Linked DNA regions of Drosophila melanogaster. The protein of the gene in region 1 interacts with the protein of each later gene in a pairwise test. Each region holds a gene or a part of one and is shown on either strand. Other genes may lie near its edges.

Region 1 (16,018 bases):
GGCATTAAAAGATAAAAATTTTCAATTTTTATTTCGCATCATCAAAATTTGGGAAAAATTGAAAGAGCCTTGAAAATTTGAATGCAAGTCGATTGGGGATATGGCTTTCCAAATTTGGGCCATTATTTTTCATGTTTGAAACAAAATACCAATTATTTTTTGTTTCTTTTTTCTATCATTTGTTTCCTTTGTATCCTATTACTCGTTTATTATTCTCTAGTCGGTCTGCTTAATTTTCTTCACTCTACTTTATTTCACTGGCCCATCTTTAATGCTTTTACCCTTTTTCCTGCCTACTTATTTTAATTTAACCTTCACTTCTCGGTGTGGGTTGGAAAATTGGAATACGGTCAAAGTGTTAAGCCATTGTCGCCGTTGTTGGCATCTGCTCCATGTGCCACGCCTCGTGCCCACGCAACTTTTTTCGCCTCTGCACAATGTATGTAGATGGCGGGCGGAAAGGGGTGGTAAATTTGGGAAAAAAGACCAGATGACGACGAGGGCAAAGAAATTCGCAATTAATCACAATTAAAAACGGCCTGAAATTTCTTCTTCTTTTTTATACCGCCATGTATACCTTTAACTCATGTACATACATACATATATACATGGCTATTTTATATATATATATATTGTATATATTATTACATTCTTTTGCACCCTTTGTCCACGTCATCCGCATTTAATTATGGAAATGTTAATTTGCTTAGCACTTCAGAGCAGCGACCCCCAGTTACCCATTATTCCCCGGCGCTTTTTCACAGTTTTTCAAACGCATTTTCCCCGGGCTCCGCCGCTCAACTGGCTCCACCTGGCGGTGGCGAGTCAGCGAAAATGTTCATGTTTAGTTTTTTTTTTTTTTTGCCATCACGCCATTAATTTTCAATTAACACTATGCCAGAAGCAGACGACGCGGACAACGACAATGATTATGGCAAATGGCTGGCGGATTATGGGTGGCGCAAGTGGGCAAGTGGTGCTCCTTTGAAAGTGGAGTCGACACCGTCTGGGTCACCGTTAGTCAATGGCACAATGCTCTAATCAGGGCGTAGGTATTGGTCCAAGTGCAAAGCTGACGAAGAGCGCGTCAAAATGATACCCTGGGAAATGAGGTGCCGTGCAAACTTAACTTTTGTTGAGAAATTAAATGATTCTGCGGGAACTGGTTCTTGGCAGATATAGTATATATATTATATTACTGCATTATTTAGTATTCAATTAACAGTTTAGATAATGAACTTCAATTATTGCAATGAAATAAATGTTGAAACCTCTACCAAATGAACTTTTTAAAAGTAATGGGCATCTGCGAGCCTCATACTCTTCCTGAGCCATGTTATTTCTTATTTATTGCCTCGTTCGTGCTTTCATTGGCACCCAACTTAACCTGGGCCAACCCAAGTGGTCCTGGCCCAATCCCCAACTAAACCGAAAGCAAAACCAGCCCCAACTTCCTGTCCACCTGTAGTTCATTTCATTTACCGCTTGTCCCTAACAAAGTTCAATCCTTTGTTGTTAACCCAGCCCAGGTCCCCCCCCTCCCCTACCACCTTTTCCTTTAGCCCTCTTTTGGGGGCGCCCCTGTCGTTTGTGCTTACGCCATTAACTTAAAGTGCCATTGGCTCCGAGATCGGTGTAGGGGAAAAGCCGGAGGAACATCAGAGCATCAGAGCATCTGGCCATCTGCGTAGTCTGGGAGCACTTAACTTAAGCGCTCTAATTGTATTAAAAGCGTGTCCTTTCCCGCCTACGGCTGACCCACCCCCTCTCTTCACCACCCTCTCCGCATATATCTATATATCCCGCCATATCCTTAACCACTTCTCCTTCTGGGCGGACAGAGCAATGCCACATAGTTGACGTTGACGTAATGTCTCGTCCCGGCTCGCCTCGTCTCGTCACGCTTTTGGCCTGGCCAGCATCTCGTTTTTCCCCGGCTAATTCGGCTAAGTGATTTTCATGAGTGCGTGCCAGGGCTGCGAGCCCGGTTTAATCTGACTTATGGTTTAATTAGGGTCAAGCGAAAGGGGTTCCCTATGCCTCTTCGGCATTGCAATTAGTGCCGATAAACCCGAACAAGGCGAAAACTTATTTGTGGAGCTGCATGCGTTTGCATTTATACACAGAAAAAACTGTGATAAAGAAATGATTATATTATTGCAATAGGTGCAATTGAGTTTTAAAGAAATAAGTTCTATATCACATCATTATTATATTTATATATGTTTACATACATTTTAATTTTTAGTTTTATAGCTACCAATGTTACCCAAAAATACTGTTGAATTTGCCAAATCTTTCTTCTTCAAATCTCTAATCAATTTCGTCGACTTTTTTCGCCGTGTAGCATCCATTTGTGGCTTTGTTACAATCTTTCCGTTCGCAATGTGCTCCGGTTCACCTTTTCGGCCCACTTTGTCAGCTTCTTCCTGCCCGCTCCTCCACTTGGCCTCCTTCTTGGTTGCTTATTTTTGGCTTGAAAACGCGAGTACAACGCACCCTCCACATTCCATGGCTTTCAAGATTAAAAAAATGGCCAAACCGTTAAAAAAAGGCATAGTTTTTACATCCTAATTGCCAATACTAACCACTTTTTGACTGACTTTGTGTAATTTTATTCACAACTTTTACACTTGCCAACAAAAGAGTAACACTTATCGCGAATGTGTGCCCTTTTCGCCACTTGGCAATTAAAAAGTTGTCGCCAGCAAAATTAAATTAAAATGAAAACATTTGTCAAATCGAGACTATACAGTCATCGCAAGGAGTCCACAGACATTCGCGTGAAGAATTGAGAATGCAGCATTAGAGGAGTGACAATGTATTCAATGTATATTTCAGAAAAAAAGCAATTATAAGGCGAACAAAACATTACAATGAAATCCGTACGCTAATGAAAGATCAAATACTTGAGCAGCCATTGCCCGGCAACAACACAGCACAAGCTGATCAATATTTCCCATAGGGGGGGCACACTGCGCTCCAGAGGCATCAATCCACGTCGCTTCATATCTAATTTAATGACATACACATCGATGGTCATGATGATGGCAAAAAGCGGAACGAAGATATTATTCTTATGCGGAGTGATCTGGATTTAAACAATGGTTGCAGTAATTTATTACAATGGTACAATAAGTGTGTACATATTGTAAATCTTTGTACTTACAAATACAATGGAGTATATCATTAGCATGTACGCTCTCACCAGTAAAAAGTGTGTGAGGGCTCGAAAGCGCCGCGAATTGAAGTCCTTTAAAATCAAAAGATTGCTTGGCCATCCGAAGAAAACGATCATGAAATCTATAAAATTTATTAACTACGAATTTTGGTTAGGTGCAATTAGTCCTTTACTTGCTGCCCACCATTAAATAAAGGGCTACCATTTACTCACCAATCGAAGGACACCGATGTTGAGGGTATAAAAGAATACCAATAAATCGATACTTTTCGAGATTTTCCAGTTGATGCGCCTTTCGCAACATGATAGAGGTATCTTGAGATTGGTGTGCACAACGCGGCAAAAGTGATCACTGATCTGCTCGAAGAATGTCATGCCGAAATGTACAAATAAATTTTCCAAATTTATAAAAGAATGTATAAATAGGTGCTTCGTTCAAGTCAAAGGGGATGACTGACTGAAAGGCAATGAATGAAAATCGAAAACGATTTGGGCATTAAATCATGGCCAACTACTCCCGCTGGCTGTGCAAGGACACTTGGCCTTCTTCTTGGTAGCTTATTTTTGTCTTGAAAATGCGAATAACTGGCAATTTCTGGCCGGGTCTTCCACACACCATACCACACTCTACACAGCACACACACCGCACACACACCGCGCCGTCGACATTCCATGGCTTTCGCATGGCTGGAATCTGGGTAAATGTTAATTAAGCATCATTTACGCATTCAGGCCGCCATAATTTGCAGCGACAATGACACTGACAGCGCCACAATGTTGCGACAACTTTGACAAGCCCGCCAGCCAGGACACAGAAACGGAGTCTTGGAGTCCTAGAGACACGGAGACACAGAGCCCGACCCTTTACCCCATTTACCCATTTACCACACTGTCACTCGGCACGCAGTCAAATTTAATGTAACATAAAAGGTTTTCCATTTCATTCACCATCCTACTTAATGTATATCTGGGACGTAATGGTTCCATTAGGACAACCGCAAATGTTCCAGAACATTGCAGTTGGCATTTGCCTGGATGTCTGGGGAAAAGAAATTGTTCAATAAGCAGATATCTGAAAGAAACGATTGACTTGGCTGGTAGATTGTTCGGACTACGTGGCTTATGACAAATGTTCAAAGCTCAGTGTTACTCACATTACGTATACGCGGTGTAAACCATGCCCAAGACTAATAAAAGAACAAAACTTGTATGTTGTTTTACATTTGGGGGCAGCTTATAGATATTTTTATAAATTTATTATTGCAGAAATCTGGGTAGAGCGGTATGGCCTTATCTATGTCCTGGTCCTGGCAACGATTCCCCTTTTGTCCGAGTCCCGGTGCCACACCATCTGCTGTTGGTGTCCCACTGTCCTACCAAACGTCCAATGGCCGCTTATCTTTCCCAGACAATGGACAATGTGGCCGTGGATTAGCTCAGCCAAACGGTTATTTAGCGGCGTCCAGAGCGAGGATTGTCTTCACCATTCACCTCCTCCTTTCAAGGACTCCGCCAAATTGTGGCCACAAAGCGGCCGGGTGAAGTGCGCCCAACAGCTGGCCAACAAAATTCAGAGATGGCCAACAATACATCCAACAATGCCAACGTCCAACGACCAACACAAAAAGCAACAAATCGCCAACTGTAGAAACAAAATAATAATAAAGACAAGCAGCAACATGGAATGGCGGAGCACAAAACCGAAATAGCAAATAAAATTGCACAGCAAGGATGAAAATGGAACGAGTGCAGGAAAGGAAGAAGAAGACAAGGAAAGGAGCTAGGGAGTCCTGCAGAAGAATTACGTTAAAAGCCAAGAATAACGATGGTACAAAGAAATTCGGTGGAACAACACGTGACTTACCCTAAGGGTTAAGTAAAATAAAAAAATAATAATTATTAACTTGGAGTATTACTTTTTTTTAATTAAGTTGTTGGATGAACAGGTATTGTGTACATATGTACATATATGTGCTTCACAGTCATTGCAATCAAAATGTAAACACTATACTAAATTCAACACAATTTAAATTTCCTTGTTTTATGAATATGTTTATACTTTTGCATTGCTTATACACATTTACACATACACTGCAAATACTATACAATATGTGTATTATATTTAATTAAACTAATGCTAAAACAGTTAAAACCGAAAATAACATCACTCGATATTACAGGGTATCGCCGATAAAGTAAGAGGGCAAGTTAGGGTCGCAAGTCGCGCACACATTTCTCACACCAAATGCAAATAAAACGACGCCTTGGAATTGAAATAGAAATAGAAAATTGCCAAACAAAAATGGCAGCATAAACTTTTGCTGTTTGCCACTTCCGTACGTCATTCGTTCTGCTTTCACCTCCTTTCTCCGTAGGTCGTAACTCTCGCACACACACACACACAAAATAAGAAAGGAGAAAGCGAATAAGACACAGTGGCACATATACGCACAAAAGTCTGCTGCTTGTCGACATTTTGGTAATAAATTGAGTTTTATGGCAGTCATATTATTCTTTATTAGTGGGTAAGAATTGTTGCCTTTTGTTGGCTTTTGTTGCCGAAACGATGTCTCAACCAGGCCAACATCCTTGCCATCCCGAGCATACCGAGCATCGTGAATCCTTAACCCACAATGGCTAGATATCACTGGTTCGGTTCCGAAGTGCCTACTCTGTGTGGCTTAATTAATTTGGCAGTGTTTTGCGACTTGGTTGTCAATGGATTGGACGGAATTCCCAGTAGCCCTCGACCGAATCAATCAACGACAACGCCACGGCCCTCGTATATTTACTCTTTCATTTCCCAGTAACGTGGCTGGTAAATCAAAAACTCTCATCCAAAATTCGTTACTTGGCGTTAAATTAGTCTCGGCTTTCGAACTTCGCGGGCATACTAATCAGGTCCAAGGCGTCCGCCCAAAATGGGATAATCCGTCAATCGAAGCTCGCAATTTTCACAGCTGTCAACGCAAGTCAGATTGGTTATTTCAAATAGCATTGCCTAGAAGTATAATAAAATGTTTTAAAATAAACATTTCAATACAAAACAAATGGTAAACGGGCTTAATTATTATTAATTATTTTAATTATTATTTCGATATTTCATTAAAGTGTTTCTTTGTTAAATTAGAACTTTCGATTTGGTGCAGTATTTCGAGTTTCTTTCCGTGTAGCGATGTATTGTATCATCAAGGCCATTCAATTAGCAATCATGGAGAGCCCGCCAGCTTCTCGTACCTGATGATCCATGAAACGTTCGAATAGAGAGCGCCCAAAACTTTTGCCTCATTTCCGGAAGCACTCGAGTCCTGGATCAGAGGAGCCACAAAACTGTGCATAATGCTCCGCCCGAGCAATTTATCATCCTCAGTTCCAGTTCCCGCGAGGCTGTCGGCCAAAAACCAGCGGGCGGTAGTAGAAAAAAAATTTGGCGGCGAGTGGGCCGAAACCTTTTTGGTGGGGGTGCCAATGGAATGTGGAAGGGCGGTGGCCGATGATTAATTGCTTGAATGTCCAGTCGAGCAGAAAATTCACAAAACATTTCCATCATCAAAGCACACAACTGATTTTTCTGTGGAAAAGTGAATCCTGTCAACGATGAAACGAAGGCAGACAGCTCTTTAAGTCCAATGTAGGAATATTGCTCTCTGTCAGTTTGATTTCAAGTTATTTGCCTAATTGCGAGTATAGTTTATTTGCTTTCACATTTATTCGTTGCTAATTGCACATTTCAAGTTTCAATGCCTTTCATTGCAGACTAATTAAATGCTTAAATGCCATATATTTGCTTTCACTTAACAACTGCTTGTACGCATGAACAAAAAACAATCAATGGATAGACATAACTGAAAGTAAACAAGTTCAAGGGAAATTTCTGGAAATATAAAATTATGAAATAAATCAGACACGAAAATTAGGTAAGTTTCGTCAATAATTGTTGGCTCCTGTCATATTAATTAGGTGGGAATTACAGCGTTTATTATTGAAATTTATAAAGTCATATATGTAAGTTTACAATGCATTACTTTTATTTTATTTGAATTGTGGAAGAATTTGCTTTTAAGATTCTTTATTTTTTATTTAACATTTATTTGCAACCCATTTATAATATTCCGAATTCTAGCAGTAATGTACTCAAAAGTTGACTGATGAAACGTAAACAAAAATTCTTTCTCACAATATATGAAAATATTAATATAGCCATCACTGCCACAATTGTCACTTCAACAATTCCATAAAAAGAAACCCACAGTCAAAATTTTCGGCACTTTAAGCATGGAGTTGGAACAAAACTTGACCGCCGCCCTGATGCAGTCGTCGGCGGAGGAGGGCAAGTCGGAGGAGGCGTGGCCGGCGGACGCCCACCTGCATCAGCCGGCCGAGGCGAATCAGCTCCTGTTGCCGGAGCGCTCCAGCTGCCTGGCGGTGAAGACGTTTTTGCGCATGTGCAACCTACCATTTACGGAGCACATCAGCGACAATGCAGAGTTTATGTCACCAGGTGGCCGGTTGACCCACCTGCCGCTGCTCCGTTTGGGCCCTGTCAAGACTTTTGCGGAATTCGAGCCAATAGTGGCCCAAGTGGAGGCCGTGCAAGGCGGCAATTGCCTGGACAGTTGGATGTCCGAGGATCAGCGCGATAACATCCGCTGTCTGGTTAGCTATGTGGAGAATGTCTTCACCCTGGCGGAGATTCATATGAGTTTTGTGGATGAGGTAAACTATCAACTTTACACGGCAACGCGCTGTGCAGCCGCTCATCCGTGGCCGTTGAGTACGATTCGCCGGTTTGCCAAGCAGAAGGACGCACAGAAGATACTGAAGGTCTACCGGTGGCAGGATTTGGACAACGACCAGGTAATCCAGGAGGTGAGCATCTGTGCCGATGCGTTGATCGCTGAACTGGAGGAGGACCAGGCGAAGAGCTATTTCGGCGGCTCACGACCTTGCAAATTGGACGCCCTGGTCTTTGGCCATGTGGTAGCCATAATGACCACCAAGCTTCCCAACATGGAACTGGCCGCGGTTCTGGCCACATATCCACGTCTATTGGCCCACTGTCGCCGCATCGATCAGAGCCTGTTTGATGGCAAACTCCTGACCAGCGCGGTGGAGGAGCAGGAGGACGAGATGGAGTTGGAAAAAATAGAATAAAGGAAAGGGCAGGACTCGGAATCCCTCTGCCCCGGAACAAAGGATTCTTATTGTTTTTTTATTTGGCCAGGGTCGGGAAGGCAATCAAAAATATGCAAAGCATTTACAATAAAAACGGCAGACAAGTCGGAGGAAGAGTGGGTTTTGCATGGGGTGTGGCACGGGGAAACTTGAACCAGAGTTAAGCCAGCGCACAATGCCATAAAATACAGCAACAGACAAGGCATTTAACACTGAAAAAATAAAGTAAAGAAATCAAACAAATAGAAAGCAAGTAAATCCAAAATAAATGATTGTTGCAATTTTTAAATTAGATATTCATTTTAGAATAATCCCGGTAATAATGAAGTTTACACTTACAAATTTGCAATTATAGTTTCTAAATGTGGAGTCATTACTGGCGAGTCATAAAAATCTAATTTTTTTATTGCGAAAAAATTGGCCTCTTTTATATTTCGAGTGTACTAGGCAGTATTTTCGGCGCGGGCTGGCATTCAATTTAAGTTCGCCCTCGACTTGTAGGTTCGATTTTATGACTGGCCCAAAGTCACCAATCTCAATGCAGAGTTCCCTGGGAGAAGAGTTTACGGGTCTGCGGGACTTCAGTACTCCGGCTAACCCGTGTGACATGGCCGCATCGTTCGGACAATCAGGGAACCATCATCGACATCGACTAGGTCCGCTGTCAGCCAGCTCCCCATGTTTTCCTACCATTTTGGCTCCCTTTTTGTGTTTCGCAATCAGAAACTCATCATGGCCTATTGATGATTTTTTCCGTTGTTCCTTTTTTTTTGTGCATTTTGCCTTTGCTACGACTCCCAGAGGATAATCTTCGTTGTCCTTGATGGCTGTCCCTGGACTTGGTAATTTATTGGAATTTACCAAAAGGATTAAGTACGCCAATAAGCGTTGCTCAACGTCAATGAGCGCGTGAGCTCCATCTCCATTCCTATCTCCATTATTTTGAAACCCGTTTTCGTTCTGCTATCGGAGTGGGAGGCATCAGACATCAGACGGCATCGTCATTATCCTTGCTGCCGGCCATTTTCAGCCCTTTCGTCTGTTTCCGCATCCGCCCAACTTCCGGTTTGGAGTGTTGGCTGCACACTCCGTTGCCAAAATACATGGCCCATTTCGAGTGCCAACCTGATTTGAATGGATTAATATTTAAATTTCGACATACAAAAAATATAATATAAAATAATATATTTCAGTACCGATTTCAACAAGTAAAAAAAGTATTCTTCAAAAACTGGAGACGCCGGGACTTAAGCCCGGGACCTCTTACATGCAAATAGTTGATTCTGAACTTCTGAAGACGCATTTAAGAATATAAGTTCTTAGTGAATTCATTCTAATCGCCGGACATTACTCACTTGATGTTTATAACTGAATGGAACTCAGTCAATTTGTTCTTTATTGATTCAATAGAACCGTAAGCAGACAATCGCTTTTGCCTTCAAATAACCACGGCACTTGGGGCCTCGAGTCATCTCAACCTGAACTTTTACGTCACGTTGTGCTTTATCGCTTTATTCCGAGCTGCGTCGCCCGATTATCCATCATCCGGATCCGAGGAGTCCCCGTCATCATCAGCGACCTTCAGCTAGCATCTTCCGCTCGCCCGAGTAACCCTAATGGAAAGTATATAAAACACAATTTGTTTTCATTTTGTTCTCCCACAGAGTCGCTGAGCGACTATCCCGACTTTCTTCGACTTTTCTCGATTCATCCAATCCCCGTCCACCCAAATTTTAGCGACTTTCTCTGCCGTTGGCCTCGAGTTTTCAGCGCCTTATCCTGCAGATCCTTGTAGCATACCAAATTCAGCATTCTGTCAGCTTAACCGCTGCCACTTGCCATTGTTGGCTGTTTATTTTGGTAGCCGGGCTTTTTGCGAAAACTTTTGCACATGCCACGCCCAGACGCCCAGAACGCCCCCAACCATACCCAACGCCCCCACCAGCCCAACTGACTGCCTTAGGGCCACTAAACAACAGATAGACTAAACGAGACAAAAAACACAGTAGGTATGCATTAAGATATATACACACAGATGTGCACTTAAAAAACTGTTTTCCATCGTAGTAATAATAATAAAATCGCAGATCAATAGAGTGTTTCAGCCTATTTATTTATTTACCATTATTCAATCGTTTATATTGTTAAACATATTTAATTTAGGCTACACATTGAAAACGCCGCAAATTTTCTCACAGTGTCCAGCATTTATACGTTGAAAAGTTCTGCGCCATGGCTTGGTCAGAAGTGGGGGGGGGGCTTTGGGCCAAAACTTTCTATAGCCTACAAATTTTCTTTTGCCTCCAAATTGGCTGAGGGAAGAAAGTTTTCCTTGCGGCTACTTTCGCCGCTGCTCGGTCACCGATGTCGCAGCACGATGGCCTAGTCCATCTATATCCACATCTTTATCTCCTTTGCCAGCTCCATTCATCTCGACCCACCACTCCACCAGCATCTTGTGCCCATCGTGGCCAGGCCAGAAAGGAGCCAGTGCAGTGATTAGGCAATAATTCTGTGGCACGCAAACGGCGCACATATTAACCCGCCCAAGGAAATATGGCGTGTCATTGAACAACTCAATATCGCAGGGCTCCAAGCGCCACTCACTCACTTACTCGTTGGACCGCCGGCTCTACGACTTTTTCGGTTGTTAGGCAAATCACGTAAATTCCTTTAAACGAATTACTTTCAAATTACCGAAAATATTTGGATCGACTGACTGGCGGCTGCTTTCCTGAGCAGGTGCTTGTGTGCTCATTGCGCTTTGCCACAGCGACAACAATGGGCGGGATTTTCGGCAGAGAGTTTTAAATAAATATTATTGCGTGTAATTTATATGAAAAGTTTGCACCTCGTGTTCTTAGGTTGTGATTTTACGATTTTCCGATTTTCATACTCAAAGCCATGATTTTCGGTTGAAAAGCGAACAAAAACCCCGTCTCAATTTATGCAGCTACATCAAGAGCGGTCTCAGTTTATAAAGTAGCAACAAATAATTGACCACCCACACATGGGGGCGGGGAAAATTGTTGCCGCTTTCAGTGGTTGAAAAAAAAAGAATCCGAGAAGGAAAAAAAAACTGCGAGCAGAGAAAACTCAGCGGAAAACCCGCTCAAGTGGCAATCATCATGCTGCACTTGGCAATTGTTGCCACCAAAAAAAGACTGGCAGGGGGGAGGGGAGGGGCTGCGGCATTGGCAGTCCAGCCCCCATTAATTCCCAAACCCCCAACTTTCATCATCGTCCTGTGAACCGCCCTGTTGAGTGCTTAAAAACACATTGCACGTTCAAATTGAAGTGGAAATGCAACGAAATGCATATAAAAACATCCTGAACCAGAGGTCCTGCTGAAAAGGGATATCTCCTGGAAAACGCCTGAGCGATAATAAGAAACGAAAGCTTGGTATTTATAATTACAATCATAATTTAATCAATATTAAATATTTCTTTGAAATCCTTAAATAATCAAATCAAGCACCCTCCTCTATATAAAATAATTATATATAACTAACAAATACAAACCGATCATCATGATCAAATACTTAATGAATGCGGTAACAAATTCCCGATAATTGGAAAGCATCAGTGATTTGCGTCCGTAATCCGTAGGCATCATTTATTTATGAGATTCGTTTAATAATGTTTTGATTTCTCGTAAGGCAATTTAGCCGGGGAAATCGTTTATCGGTACGTGGCGAAAGCCACGGATACATGGGGTTTATACACTGGCTGGCTTGTTGTTATTGGATCCACCTTGTGACCGCCCAAGCAGCCATGCCAACTACCTTTAACCACCCCAAGCCACCCACAACCACCCCAAAACACCCACAACCACCTGGTCACGTGGCGTCGGCGATAACAAACAAATGCAATTATGGATTTACGCGGCGTATGCGCCATATTTATATGTTTTTTACGCTGCCGCTTGCGGTTGCCTTACATTTTAATTGAGTTGCTTGTGCAGCTGGCAGCGCCAACAAAAAAAAAAGAAACATTAGTTGTATCTGTATCTGTATCCGTATCTGAATCGGAACCAACTGAAAATGTGGACAAGTGTTGGGTGGCGTGAAGAAGGAAATTGATGCGCTTCGGGTGCAAAAGACATCAAACACTTGAAATATTTTGTGTAAACTTGAAAAATGACATGAAAGCGGCCTGAAATAACAGGCCAAACGATGGGTGGATGGGGCTGGTTGTTTATTTTTTTCGAGTGGATGGATGGCAGAATGGCATGCAAAAGTAAACAAACAATTTGCGGGTCTTGTCTCTGACATATGAGTTCGAATATTTCTGTTGGGCGGTGGGAGGGTAGGGGGCGGGGAGAGAGGGCGGAAAGGGGAGCTGTGCCCGAGGTCTCCGGGATCTCACATCTTACTCGATGTCTCCTTGAGCTTGTGAATGGCATGCGTGGGCGTGCAAAGTGTTTCTGAAAGATGATTGATACGATTTGGAGTGCTCCCAGGGCCGCCGACATCCGCTTCCCTCGATCCGCTCCTGAATTTGCCGCCCGGGGGCGTCGCATAAGCGGCGGCGTAATGAAGCGGAAATCGATTTGCGAGCGCGCGCGCGTCTTCAACCCGTGCGACCCGGGAAATCGCTCGTCGGCAGCGGGCGTGCGTGAAAAGTTTGACAGCAGCCAGGAGCAGGCCACCAGACATCCACCGCCCAACCGCCCAACCGCCCAACCGCCCAACACCCACTAGCCAACCACTCAGCCAGCACCACCCGCAACGCCATCTCACGGGATGATGAACAGTGGGGCGCCACCAGCAGCAGCAGTACCAGCCGCTACCCCGCACCGCCAAAAACCACACGGCGAGAAAATGTAAATGCTTAAAATAAAATAAATAAAATATGTTGCGAAAATAATATTTAATAAGGGTGCACAGAAATCGCAATAATTTTATTCATGAAAGTTGCAAGAAATGTCATTTTGCTGGTAAGATAACCCAGCCATGCAGACATACATAAAATAATATTTTTTTCCAGTGCACCCCTTTTCCCCTTTTTTTCACGAAGAAAGCGTAAACAAGAAAATATTAAGCAGCTGCGAGAGCAAAACAAAAACGTAACGCTGCCGAAAAAAAACTTGGGGTAGGGAAAACGAAGTGCGCGAAACAAGTTTTCCGGGAGGGGCAGTGGGAAAACAAGCGAAATAAAGTAAAGAAACGAAAGGAATGATGCTGTGGGGAGAGAAGGGGGGGAGGGGTGAGGGGAGCGATTTCCGCCGCTCGCTCGTAACTTTTCACTTAAGCATTTTTGTCACGTCTGCCATTTTTCCTTTTCTCCATTTTCCGGCACACCCGCGCCTATCCGAAAGCCTTGTGTAATACATTTTTGTAATATTTACTCTGCGCTTTGTTGGATCTGTGCATCCTTGATCGGCATGGGTATATACGCTATTGGGCAGCTTGGAGCATTTCGTGTTTTTCACATTCCCAGTTGAAAGGAATTCCTTGGCATACCAGAGCATTGGAAATTCGCTGTGTGCAAAGCTTAAAGTTGAGTTGATATTATTTTCTTTTTTTTTTGTTCTATATACAGACATATTTGTTGTTGTTTATTTTACGCCAACCCAGATTCCCAGTGACTTGGTGTCCTTTTTTTCGGGTTCCGGCCAGTTTCTTAATTTCTTTTCGTGTTTTCTCTTTATACATGCACACCCGCTATTTGATTTCCCCCTCGCCAGGCAAAAATCATATTTTATTGTTATCGAAATTTAGTGGCTTCCCATAAACATCGGCCCGTTTTTTCTTCCCCATCTTTCTTTCGGCGTTGGACTCAGCGCCGCATCCCTCCGCCGAAAACAGAAATTGTGATCCATAACTTCGCCGTAAACTGGGTCAACTCCGGACTCCATTCGCCGTTTTCCGGACCCGTCAGCCTGCCAGCTCTGGCGACAGTTTGGATTAACCCGGTTGCTGGAACGTGGCCGCGATTTGCACTGTCATCCGGAACCGCGGGCCGTACCAAATTAGACGGGACAGCACCGAAGTCTCAACGGGTTTGCTCGGTTTAGCACCGGAACTCACCGGATCCGATCTGAAAGTGCGGCTAATACAGAGTTGAGGGAAGCTGGTTAAACGGAATAGAGCTGTCAATAAATCTAAGCAAATAGAAAAGTGCACCTAAATTGGTGGCGATAATGTCTGCATATGATGTATGCACGTTTGCCTTCGGGCTATATAAGTTATATTTTGAGATTAGGAGCTAATTTAGCATTTTATTCGATATAAGCCGAATTAAATATAAACCAAATATGAATGAAGGCCATTAAGATACATGATTAACGGAATTTTCAAATTTAAAGATTTCTTTCTGTTCGAAATGTGATGCGACCTTGAATACATATCGAAATATGTTAACAGATGTCAAAGTTAAAGTAATTGGAATCACAGCCCACAAATTAACTATAGCAAGGGTCAACACTGCGTATAAGTGATATTGTAAGTAGTACGTCAATTCTACACCTTATTATATATAGAGGAATAAGATAATGCTTAAAACAATTGGAATATTAGCTTATTCCTTTGAGTTTTTCTTTAAGTCCACTCAACTTGGGATCACCCTAATGGCTAACAGAGTCGTTATTGGCTTTGTACTGCGTTTATTTTGGCCATGTATTATTTGCTTTTTGTTGACCCGTAATCTTTATGGCCTTGTTAGGCCACCGAAGGAAATCAACAAATCATCCGAGCACTCTTAGACATTTTCATTAGCCGCAATTTGGGCATTAAAATTTGAGTTGGCCCGCTTGCCACCTCGTATATTTTATGGGTCTCGACACCTTCAGGAATTGGGCGCATAAATTGTCGAGTGCGGCAGTTAACTGGCTAAAACTAAGCCGGCAATCCATCAAACTGGCAAGTAGCTATATATATATATATAGGGTAGGGTATAGGGTAGCATACATATTTATGTGGGGTATATAAAGCACACACCACAAATGTGCCAAATGAGAGGCTTTCGGTTTTCTATTAACTGTCAGCCGTTTAATTTACAAGCACTTTTCGAACACCTCAGTCGCACAGCAGGGGTGTCAAAAAGTGGTGGCTTGGTGAAGGGTGTGGGGGGGGGGGGGGGTGGTTGGTATGTTCAGTACTCAGTATTCGGCATTCGAAGGGCCTTCTTGGATTTTTGGGTATGGAGCTCTGGAGGTGACCAATAAATTAAGAAGCAGACGAGAACGGAAATGAAATGTCTGTGCGTCGGTGGCGGAGATCGGAAGTGCGGTTTTGGTGAGTGAGTGGGTTAAGTGGGTGGTACTGTGGCGTAGGTGGGTTAAGTTGCCCCCGTTTGGGGACAGCTATCCAAGGCAGCTATCCAGCCCCCACCCTCCATTCCACACAACTGGCAACTGACATTTTCCTGCCTTCGTCCATTTCCATGTCGCATGTCAAGCGATGCGAATTCTAATTAAAATTTAATTGTTTACACTTTTCGGCCAACGAGCGGAAATGGGAGCGGAAGCGCCAAAGGCTTGGCCTGCACTGCGAGAAAATGTGGCATGTTTTTATATAGGAACTTATAAAAATATAAGATTGTCTGTAATTTTAAAAAATATGTACAAGAAGTGGCAAGGTATGGCACTTAAGGCTTAGATTTCAAATTACTAAAATGATAGAGCCACATAACATATTTTAAGCATTTGTCATATGTAAT
Region 2 (11,155 bases), on another chromosome or scaffold:
AATACATTTTAAGACTTTAGTCACTAGATAAACGTAGTTGTTCGTTTTATTAAAGTGGATGTGGCCCAACATGGTGGCCCAACAATGGGTTATATTCAGTAATATAAATGAACCAAACTGGCTAAAAGATATTTTCTTAAAAGTATTATTTTAAGTATGCCAAATTAGGAAAACATATCCAAAAGGCAAAGGTAATCAATATCTTATTCTTTGATTTAATACAATTATGTTTGACTGATTTAAATGAAATGAGCTGTTATTACAATAATTGCAAAAGAGTAGAAATCCTTAGATTGCAATAAAACCGGATTATCAAGAAGATAACTCATACGCCATGTGTGATGAATCTATTTGCACATTCGCTGTTCGATAACTGTGTTGAGTTTTACACAATTAGTCAACACAAATTAATTAAAAACCAATAAAAGGAGAATATAACTAAGAGCTTATATTAGTTTTGCGGCAAAAGCAAAGTGCAAAAAAAGGGGCTGGCGTCGTCGTATTCCAGTGGCTGATAGTGCTGGTGATAACAGGAGCGCTAAGCTAATAATACTAGAGAAACATAAACATATGTGCATGGACCCCGGACTTTTCGGAAAGCTCAGTTGTAGATGGACGCCTGGTTGGAGCTGTTGTGCCTCAGTTTGTTCAGGAGCACTACTTCCCAACTGGTTTATCGCAGTCCCAGGCGATTGTTATTCCAGCGCTTCCAATCAATCAGCCCATACTCAACAAATACTTGATTACAGGTAGGCCATATAGAATTCCTCTCAATTCGCAAACCTGACCAGCAGTTACTCTGTGCATCTGCTATTGGTTGGACGTTGGAAAATATAGGAAAAACAGTAGCGTTCCGGAATGTCTGCCACTCCTCCAACAACACCTGCGCCCACGGCTGCAGCTTCCGCCGGAAAGGGTCTTCACTCCAGGGCATATAATGGACTTATCAAGGCCTGCGACAAGTATGTGCCCCCCAAGATGCGACCCTTGTGGATGCACCCAGCAGGTGATCATAAATAGAAGCATTTTAAGCACAGAGAGGAACTAACATATCTTTCCTTCAGGACCCAAGACCATATTCTTTTGGGCTCCAATCGTTAAGTGGGTAAGTTTTTGCACTACTTGCATAACCATGAACCCTGCGTCCTTAGCCAATTCCCATTATCACCGTACTGATAAACAAACCTGTGGGCGAATATTGTGTTTTATTATTATTTGTTTAGTTCTCGGCAAACCTGTTCAAGCCCGCGATAAATATGTATATATGTACTTATATACCATTTTCCTCTCCACGCGCGAGATTCTGATAACTGAATGATTGTGCGGTTTGTGGGGCTCATGGAATATTTCATAATACTTTTACTGTTTTGACTGGGGGGAGCTTTGCCAACATGCTATTCAGATTTGCAGTCAATGGGGGGACTTACCCTGCACTATCGGCCAGATCTCCCTAATCTCCGCAACCATTCCGTTTATATTCCACCACAGAGCCTCGTTATCGCGGGTCTCAGTGATTTGACGCGTCCTGCGGACAAGATTTCGCCTAACGGATGTCTGGCTCTTGGGGCAACGAACCTCATCTGGACGCGCTACTCTCTGGTGATCATTCCCAAGAACTACAGCTTGTTCGCGGTTAATCTCTTCGTGAGTCTGACGCAGCTCTTCCAATTGGGTAGGTACTACAACTACCAGTGGGAGCAGTCGAGGCTGGAGAAAAATGGCGAGCAATGCCCGGCTATTGAAGCCAGTTTGTAGTAGTCCAATTTGTGCATTTCAATGGATTTAGTCTAAATAAAAACAAGTTTTAAGGCTTTAACGGTCAATACATTTAAAGTGGAAATTTTACAGTAAAAAAATGTTAAAAAAATAAGTACTATTTAAATAATTAAAAGTGAATTTTATAACTTTTTTTTAATGTTATTAATTGCAATTTAATTGCTTAAAACAAAATAGTTTATCAACATAAATTTAAAACCAAGCTAAATACACATCACTTTCAATTTAATCGATAAATGTAAATAAAAACCGCCGAACATTGTGCTGTTGGTCATTTCTTGTTTACTGCAATCAAATAAAAATACATAAATAAATAATAATATGGCCCTGGTGGACTATGGTGGCAGCAGCTCCTCCGCCTCCGAGGATGAGGACTGCACCGAAAACATTCAAACTCCCGCGTTGATCACCTTGAAAAGGTAACGTCCTTTACTGGAATACCCGTAGATTTCTACATTATAACCGCCAAAGACCGGCCCTACCCAAAGCAGCCACCCTGCTGGGCCCCAAGAAGCCCAAGCCCGAGGAGTTCGTCGAGGATGTGGTGGATGATCCCGCGGAACATGGCGGCCGCATGCGTAGTTTCAAGCATGAACGGGGAAACTGGGCCACTTACGTCTATGTGCCGGCAACAGCATGTGTTGACCAGCTGGAGGAGTTCCAAACGGAGGCCATTGCTCGTCTGGAGCCACACTTGGAACTGCAGCCGAACGAGTCGCTCCATCTGAGCCTGAGTCGAACAGTGGTGCTGCAGTACCATCAGATCGATGAATTCTCCCGATCCTTGCAAAGCGCCCTCAACAGCTCTGCGGGGTGAGATGTTTAACCAAGTTAAATCTAGTATCTCCCATCCTGATGACCAATCCTCTTTTAGATTCGCCGCCACTTTGCAGGGGCTGCGGATCTACACGAATGAGGAGCGAACCAGGACCTTCATTGCTGCGCCCCTGGACGCTGCATTTGTGGAGAAGATGACTGCCATTCTGCAGCCCATCGACCAAGTGATGCTCGACTACCGGCTGCAACAGTTCTATGATCCGGCCTCGTTCCACGTCAGCCTTCTTTGGTGCGTTGGCGACCAGGAGACACTGCTTAACGAAAAGCTCACGGAGTTAAAAGAGCTCCTTGATGATCAGGACAAACTCTGCCTGGCGGTCAATGAGGTGCACCTAAAGTGCGGCAACAAGGATTTTACCTACTCGTTGAAATAGGATATTGCCAGTCTTTAACTGAATCATAAATATTTATGCATGCTGATCTTTCAATTGGAATGTAGTGGAAAATATATATTGACTTTATTAGGTATCAAAAATGTAATCTGTTCCATATTAGCTCATATATATGAACATATAAATTGTAGTTTGCTAATAAAAGCAAGATTGTAAAGCAAGCCATAGCGTTGAATGAATGGTTACCATTAGCAATCCAAAGATGTTTCCTTACAAATTAGGCTTAAATATAAGAAGTCCAGTGATTACCTTTTAATTAAGACCCTTTTTCTTGTTACCATTTCCCTGCTTGGCCGCCTGCGCCTGCTCCTCCAGTAATCGCTCCTCCTCCAGCTCCAAAAACCGCTGACGACGGCGGCCGAGCGGGGTCTTCGACCACCAGGACTCGAAAGCTTCCTCCTCTTCGCGGTAGACGGGATCTCGTGAGCTGAAAGGCATGGAAACTAACAACTAACTAATTTCATAGCCAAATCTACTTACCACAGAACATTGATCAGTTCGGCATTGGTCAATGGTTGGGTGCGCAGCTGGAGTTTCCGCTTGCAGGTCATCACCTCCTTGAGGCACGCATCGATGGACCCAATGGTATAGCCATCTGATATTTTGGCCATGGCGCTGGTGTCCAGATTGGAAATGCCACCAGAGTAATCGCTGTCGGGGTGCAAACCAAATCAGTAGATTATTTTGCAAATGAATCCCCCACATTTACGCACTGTAACAATGTTTTCCAGGCATGTGACATGGCGCCGTAATCCGGTCGTGGAATATAGATGAACCGATTGTAGACGGATTGCAATAGCTTTTGATCCGCCTCCCAGGGCAGATTGGAAGTGCCAATGAAAACGACGCGATCCTCGGGCGCAATGTTCTTTATCAACTTGGGCAGATCCTTCTTCAGTCGCTTGGGATCTGTGCGATCCGTCTTTGGAATTTTCTTCATGAAGGGCCGCTCCGCATCGCCCATGAATATCACCGCAGGCTGGAGCAGTCGCGACACTTTCAGTACCAGATGGATTAGCATTATCAGTCCCGATTTGCCAGGATACTTGCCAACAATATTGGCAGGAGTCAGATCAAAGAGCACGGCACCCACCTCCGTGCAAATGGCGTGGAGCAGTGCCTTCTTCCCAGATCCTTTGGGGCCAGCTAACAGGATGGAACGTATCAGTGGAGTACAGTTATGTATGGCATCAGATCCCAGTGGAAGGATGCAGTACTCCGTGAGAATCTGGCGAATGTCGCCCGGTGAGGGATTAGTGCCAATCCTGGCAGTCAACGCCTTATCGCCCAGGAATTGCTTTAGCCTTAGCTCCGGGTATTTCCGGATTATGCCATTCGTGACCAGCTCCTCGTACAGCGACTCCGTAGTGCGATCCGGCGTTAGATCCTTCTCCTTCTTCTTTTTGCTCTTCTTGCCGGATCGCCGAGTTTTTTTGCTGCTCTTCTTCACCTTCTTGCCGACGGCCGTTTGGAGCAGCTCGATCTCCTGGCGCATCACATCGTCGACGGCGCGCCGAAATTCTAGCTCCACCTCCTGGTACTTGTCGCTGTAGATCATGTCCTCATAGGCCGCTTGGCTCAGCACACCGGTTTCATCCTTATCACGCCAGGTATCGTTAAACCTGAAGTTGTAAAAAGATTAAATTTGGATCAATTTATTATATATCTTTACTCACAGATCGATCTCCGCACGGATGTCTGGCAGGCAAACGGACGGTGCCGGCTGGAAGCTAACTTCCTCGTCTTGGTTTTCGTTGACGTTGAGGTCACCACTGCGAGCGGGTGACTTGGACTTATCCTTGGTCTTTCGCGACTCCTTGGAGGAGCGGGCCGACGAACGGCTGTGCTCGCTCTCAGTTCCAGGTCTGCTGAAAATATGCAATGAGCCGCCCTGATCCTCGGATGGAAAGTCCGGCAGCTTGCCAGTCTTGTCGTAGCAGTCCTTTACCCAAGCCCGAATCTCATCGGCAATGTCCTCCTTCATGCTGGCTCCGTGCTTGGCCCGAATCTCCTCCTTTAGTGCGTTCTGTCGCTCCTCAAACTCTTTGCCGTAAAACGCTTGCGCCTGGTAGCGCTTCTCGTTGTGTTGCAGCTTCTCCAGCTTCTCGGCTCGTTCCTTAACCACAGCCGGCGGTGGTGGCAGCATTCCGATTAGGATCATCTCCTCCATTTTGCGGCGCCGCGTTATCCGTCGGGCTGTGTGGCCACGCCACATCTTCTGAATCTTCATGGCAGCCAAAAGACCAGAGTCACTGCGCTCCTTTTCGGTGCGCTCCTCCGACTTGCCCTTCTCCTTTAGGATGCGAATCTCCTTCATGAAGTGGGCACGCAAGCGTCCTTGTCGCGCTCGCTCGTGCATTTGAAGCATCCTAATGGCTTCGATCTCGGTGGTAACCGTCTCCTCCAGCTCGTGCTCCTCAAGCCAACCCAGCTTCGTTAGGATCTCATGCATGGTCTTCTTTCGAAACTCTAGCTCCTGCTGACGCTCGCGCAGAAAGTAGCGTGGTATCCTCAGCTCCGTTTCCATGGGCGTCAGGCGCAGGCGTTCCACCACCTCGTCGTTGTAGCTAAATTCCATCAAGTCGATATTTACGAGATCGTGCTTCAGCTCCACCACTCGACCCAGACAGGCGTCTAGTAATTTACGCACCAACTGGCGCTTCTGAGGCTGAATCATCTATGATGAAAGATGAGAAGTAAACCAGAGTCAAAGGATATATCATCTCCTTATATATATCCCACTTTTGTTTAAGAAAGTCGTATACCCACATTATCATAGACATCCTCCAAACGATTGCTCAGACATATGTAGCGCAGATAGAACTCGTACAGACTGGACTGCAGCAAGGCCTTGGCATCCGCATCGGCGGCGACGGATCCGACCGCTGCATTCATGGTGGCCACCGTCGTCTCCACATCCTGGTGCTGCCTCTCATAGTCAATCGTGGATAGAAGCTCGCATTCATGCTGGGATTGGTGCCAGATATCATTGAAATATGTGCTGGACATGATGGTCAATGATACTCCTCCAATGAAAAATCAGATTCTTGTTTGAGCCAAACGAAACGTTGCCTGGGAGTTGCCAAGGAACTTTTTGCCGAAACGGGGTGGAATTATTGCAAGGACAACGAGAGTTTAGTAATTTTGTACACACATAGTTGTATATAATACATTTTGTCCAAGGCGTTGCCTGGTGTTACCCTCGAGAATAACAATAAATATGTTTACATGGTTACGCTTAAAAGGTTAAATAGTCCAATGGATTTGAATTGGTACAATGCATGGAATACCTTAATACATAATGCACATTCATATTTAGTTAATAAATAGTTAACAATATAATTGGGGCTATCTAGTCAAAATAGACTTTAAATGTTATCCGTGGAACAGTACTTGATCATGGATTTGGTGTGCTTAAACTGAATGCCACTAGTGGCGGCCACGACCTCTTGGATAAAACTCTGCGAGTTATGGATGGTGGTGCCGCCAAGAATGACTTTATAGCCGGCGTTGTTTAACTGGTGCACCGCTAAGGCTTCCTCGTACGTGGCACCGCCAATAATGAACACGACAACCTCCTGCGGTGGTCGTCGAAATGGCACAAGCTCTGAATTGATGGCCGGGAAGAGGGGATCCAGCTCGCGGCCCTTAAACACGTCCTCCAAAGTTTCCTTCAGGAGAGGAGTGTGCTGTGTGAAGACATTTTCCACACCCTTAAGGCCCTTAATCAAATTCCGTGTCAGCTTTACGGCGTCCGTTATCCGCACCATATTGAAGAGATCTCCTTGTCGTACATGGGTTCCAGCATACTCAATCAACGATGGCACTATAGCCGCTCGTCCACCGCGCGTTTTGATTATTTGCAGCAGTCCAGATGTGTCGCAGTTGGCGTGTCGCTCGTATCGCAATGCATAAAGTGCCACCAACTTAAGAGCATCATCGATGGAAACCCGTTCGTCGGCAATTAGTTTTTTGATTCTCTGCAGCTGGGCCGAGTGCTCCGCCTTGCAAGCGATCTCCTGTTCAAGTTCGGAAACCTCGAAGAGATTCCTCTTGTTGCTCAGCGCCGACAGTTCTCCAATCACACACAAATGCTTTTGCACAGTGCCAGACATTTTTTTAAACTGCGGATATGACTCAATAAAGTTCTTCATGTCTGCTATGCTCTCCACTTTCTTGTGGTCGTTCGCCTTGCGCTGGAACTCCTCCATCAGTTGTTTGATGGTAGATCCGATTTCGCCGTAGTTGGCGTACATGTTGTTGCCATAGAAGTCATCCTGATCACCGGATAAGACCAGCTCCTTGAAGTCTTTCGGCACATTGGGGCAATTGGACAGGTCCAATCGATTGTTTTTTATGTGCAGCAACTCATGCACCATGGCCTGGTATGTCCACTGATGCAAAAGCGGCGTCACAGGATCGTCCCTGCGGTCCAGCACAAGCAGCAGCGGTGGCGCAGCGCCATCCATGTTGGAGCGAAAGTCGAATAGCGAGGACTCTTTTGTGATTTGCTCGTATATGAGCTTGGCCAGAAGCTGCGCTGCCTGAGAACCGGCTCGGTACCGGATCACTGGGTTCAGCTTAAGGGACAACAGCACGGCTGTGATGCCCTGCATGCTGCGGTTGAGAGCGTCCGGCAGCCAATTAAGATTCGCCATGCAATTGGGAATGCCTAATGAGAACAGATTGGGGTTGACGCACAGGTAGTCTGCATACAGTTCCTTCACTTCTCGCACCGATTCGGATTCGTCGCACTCTGCCAAGTATTTAATGTCCGTCCGGGGAATGATGTTGCTGAAATCTATTTATGAGTTTAGTACTATTCCGAAGGTGCTTCTACTGACCCACTTACAAATGTAGTAGGCGCTGTATTTGGGGTTCCGCAACTCGTTGGCCAGTAGCTGGATGTTCTGCTTGGTGGGGCGTATAAAGACGATGCATTTTAGATACTTTAACCGCTCGTTGGATCTTCCCGAGTCCAGGCGCTCAAATAGGTACACCTCCCGTTGCAGCATGTCCGATTGGCTAAAGGCCATCGAAATTATACTGGTCTGCGAATGATGTGAATTTTTGATCATATGGCAGGGGATTTGATTGTCAGTCCTTGCACTTACCGTCTCCTTGTCCAGCAGAATGATTTTCATGCCCGGTCCCGACTCGGAGCACATTTTCTCGATGTACAACTTAATGCCGCTTATCAGATTCATGACTGCTAACTAATTTACTGCGAAAATCAGAAATTAATGTTTTTTTTCGCAAACAGATGGGTTGGAGATGCCCCAATTGCGATAGCTCCGTGATAACAGCGGTGACCAAACATTTGGGTAACATTCGCTAGATCTAGCTAATGTAAAATAATGTGAATATGTAAAAATGCATATAGATAAAAACTTACAATTTTTTGGTAGTATAATAAAAATAGCAATAAAGATAAACATAAATAGCAATTAAGCTCAAACATAATTCCGTATCTTTTCATTAGCCAAAATAAACTTCGAGTAGCAACATCCCTGGCCGGCAATCGATAAAGCGCCGATATGCTCGAGCGATATATCGAGTGCCCAGTAGTTATCAGTCTGAAGCACTCGCAGCAGTCGGCCAGAAATTCTGGCATATATTTTTGGATTCAAATTCGGATGGCTGATATGCAGGTGGACTGTTGAAAACCGGCTAAATACAAGAGTACGAGCAAAGCATAGACTAGGACACAATGGAGATGCAACTGGGAGCCATGCTGTATGTGTACAAGGGGGAGTACGGACTGCCGTCCATAGATTTTGAATGTTTACGTGCTCTGGTAAGTTCCGTTGCATCACACGGCGGCCAGCACGCCTGTTTTGCCCATTATCGCAGATGATGAAAGAAACTGATGAAAGCGCCTCTTTGCCGGAAACAGTGCCTCCTGCGATTCACCCGCTGCCCCATGGACGTGCAGACCAGCTCCAATCCGCTGCGTTCGGGAGCCGGGAAGCTGCCGTATCTGCAGATCGGCAACCAGAAGTTCGCGGGCTATAGGCAAATTAAGCGCGTGCTGGATCTCGAGGTGAGTGAGCAAAACAATGCCGGGGTGAACAAACTGCAGGCTCTATTTATAGATATGTGTTTTTTTATGGGCTTAATTCGACGTATTCTTTCAGGGTTACCCGATAGATGCGCATTTAAGCACTAAACAAAAGCATTTGTCCACCGCCTACGCCAACTGGGTGTTCACCAATCTGCATGCCTACTACCACTACTTCCTGTTTGGAGAGCCTCACAATTTTGACACAACCACGCGGGGCCTCTACGCCAAGCGCACGCCATTCCCCTTCAACTTCTACTACCCGTCGTCCTACCAAAGGGAAGCCTGCGACGTGGTTCAGGTGATGGCCGGTTTCGATGTGAACGACAAGTTGGACAAGCACGAAGGCGACTACGTGAGTGCTTTCAATTTCATATTGTCTCATATTACATTATTGTATCTTTAAATCCGAGGATTTTTTAATTTGTTTATCTAACCTATGTTTTACACCCAAGCTGCATTTCGATTGGAAACGTTTCATCAGTTTATATTAATAAGAAACAGTTTCTCATGTATTGGTCTTTTGTTATCAATATATCTTATCAATGTTGTGAAAAGCAAGACGTTTCTTTAACTATCAATTAATCATTTTACTTTACAGCTCGTTGTCAATGCCAAAAAAGTGGTGAACCTGCTCTCCCGGAAATTGGGTCGCAAGGTGTGGTTCTTTGGCGACACCTACAGCGAGTTTGATGCCATTGTCTACAGCTATCTTGCCATCATCTTTAAGATCGCACTGCCTAACAATCCACTGCAGAATCACATTAAGGGCTGCCAAAACCTAGTGAACTTTATCAACCGCATCACGAAGGACATATTCCGCATCGAGGGATACAGTTCCGTCAAGCTCACAAAGACACCCAGTGGCACGGAGGCCAGTCTGACGGCCTCGGAGCGCAAGTTCCTAGACTCCGAGCTGAACACCAAAATAGTAGCCGGCGTGGGAGCCGTCTTGGCCATGGGAGCGTTTGCGGCATGGCGTGGGATTTACAACCAGGTGGGTATTTTTGGCTGAAATTTGTAGTTCTTTACTCTTGACTTGATGGAGCTTATTCGATAGTTCTGGTTCAATGTCTTCTGTTGGCTCCAGACACTCTTGTAGACAGCCTCAGCTTGAGCACGTGCAAAATTCTCAGTTAATTGCAAATTCCGATTGATTCATCCTTGCAGCTAACGACACGCTCTTCGACGGACTACGATGGCATAGATTACGAGGATGACGAGATGGAGGAGGGCCTAGACTAATCGCATCTCTGCAACGATATCTATGTGTATAGTATATATATTTTAAAATACAATGTGGGGATGAAGCACAAAAACTGTCCAGCTTTAAAGGTTTACCTAAACACTGAAGGAGATCGATTTACTTGGCCATAAATCTTTGGACCGAAAATTTCGTCAGGTAATGATCCCCTCGTCGTAGATAACGCTTCGTTCCAAGGATTTGCCAAACAAATCGACTAAGTATGAAAATTCGGTTTATGTATTATAGTTCGAATTCGTTTTTAAACTGTCTTGTATAAAATAGCATTTTAAAGTCATCTGAGCGTAATAAAATTGGATAACAGAGCCCTGTTGTCATGGAAAAGACAAGCGAAGCTTTCTCGATGTCCAATAAGAAACCAGAATTCCTCGATTGGAGTTGGATTTGGTTTATTACACACTAGTCTTAAATGTAGATTTCGAATAGGGGTCAATACGATAGAGATGTTAGAGCCTACAATGGAATTGGTAGATGCATGGGGGTTAACCATTGAACTCATGTCTTGAGTGCATCCTGCAGCTTTCGCCGCGCAACTCCGACCCGATCCTCCTGTTTGCGTATGTCGTCCTCCGAAATGATCACCGCGTGCATTAGCGGTTGTTCAGGATTCATAAACGCCATGGCATTCTTGGTCAAATCAGCCTTCGTAGAACTCTGGCCGTGTACGCCGGCGTTGAGCATATGCAGGGCCGTGGCCACCGACTGGAGGACGGTCTGTTCGTTGACATTGGGGCCAACGGTGCGTATGGTCTTGGGCAGTGAGATGTCGTCTAGCTCCTCGCCACTGTCGTGGCAGGCGCGTAGTCGTTCCAGTCGCTTCTCCCA

Evidence for each region.
Region 2: the proteins of CG5662 (region 1) and CG9393 interact in a two-hybrid assay, tested with the Drosophila melanogaster proteins (2 studies listed by BioGRID).

What each region holds. Positions count from the first base shown.
Region 1 is NC_004354.4:15,203,000-15,219,017, forward strand, and holds CG5662 (uncharacterized protein), read left to right. Parts: upstream 1-7,386; 5' UTR 7,387-7,456; coding exon 7,457-8,335; 3' UTR 8,336-8,468; downstream 8,469-16,018. Other genes in the region: CG32588 (uncharacterized protein), read right to left, coding at 2,891-3,091, 3,170-3,319, 3,395-3,556.
Region 2 is NT_033777.3:9,561,083-9,572,237, reverse strand, and holds CG9393 (uncharacterized protein), read left to right. Parts: upstream 1-8,564; 5' UTR 8,565-8,715; coding exon 8,716-8,802; intron 8,803-8,901; coding exon 8,902-9,048; intron 9,049-9,142; coding exon 9,143-9,421; intron 9,422-9,667; coding exon 9,668-10,063; intron 10,064-10,126; coding exon of another isoform or gene 10,127-10,168; exon of another isoform or gene 10,169-10,236; coding exon 10,237-10,311; 3' UTR 10,312-10,655; downstream 10,656-11,155. Other genes in the region: CG9396 (uncharacterized protein), read left to right, coding at 859-1,006, 1,065-1,105, 1,489-1,755; CG16790 (uncharacterized protein), read left to right, coding at 2,098-2,195, 2,248-2,589, 2,651-2,987; CG16789 (uncharacterized protein), read right to left, coding at 3,258-3,432, 3,486-3,656, 3,719-4,627, 4,682-5,682, 5,775-6,014; Vps45 (vacuolar protein sorting 45), read right to left, coding at 6,374-7,806, 7,858-8,056, 8,120-8,212; MBD-like (Methyl-CpG binding domain protein-like), read right to left, coding at 10,826-11,155. UniProt on the Drosophila melanogaster protein: Involved in transport of proteins into the mitochondrion. Essential for embryonic development.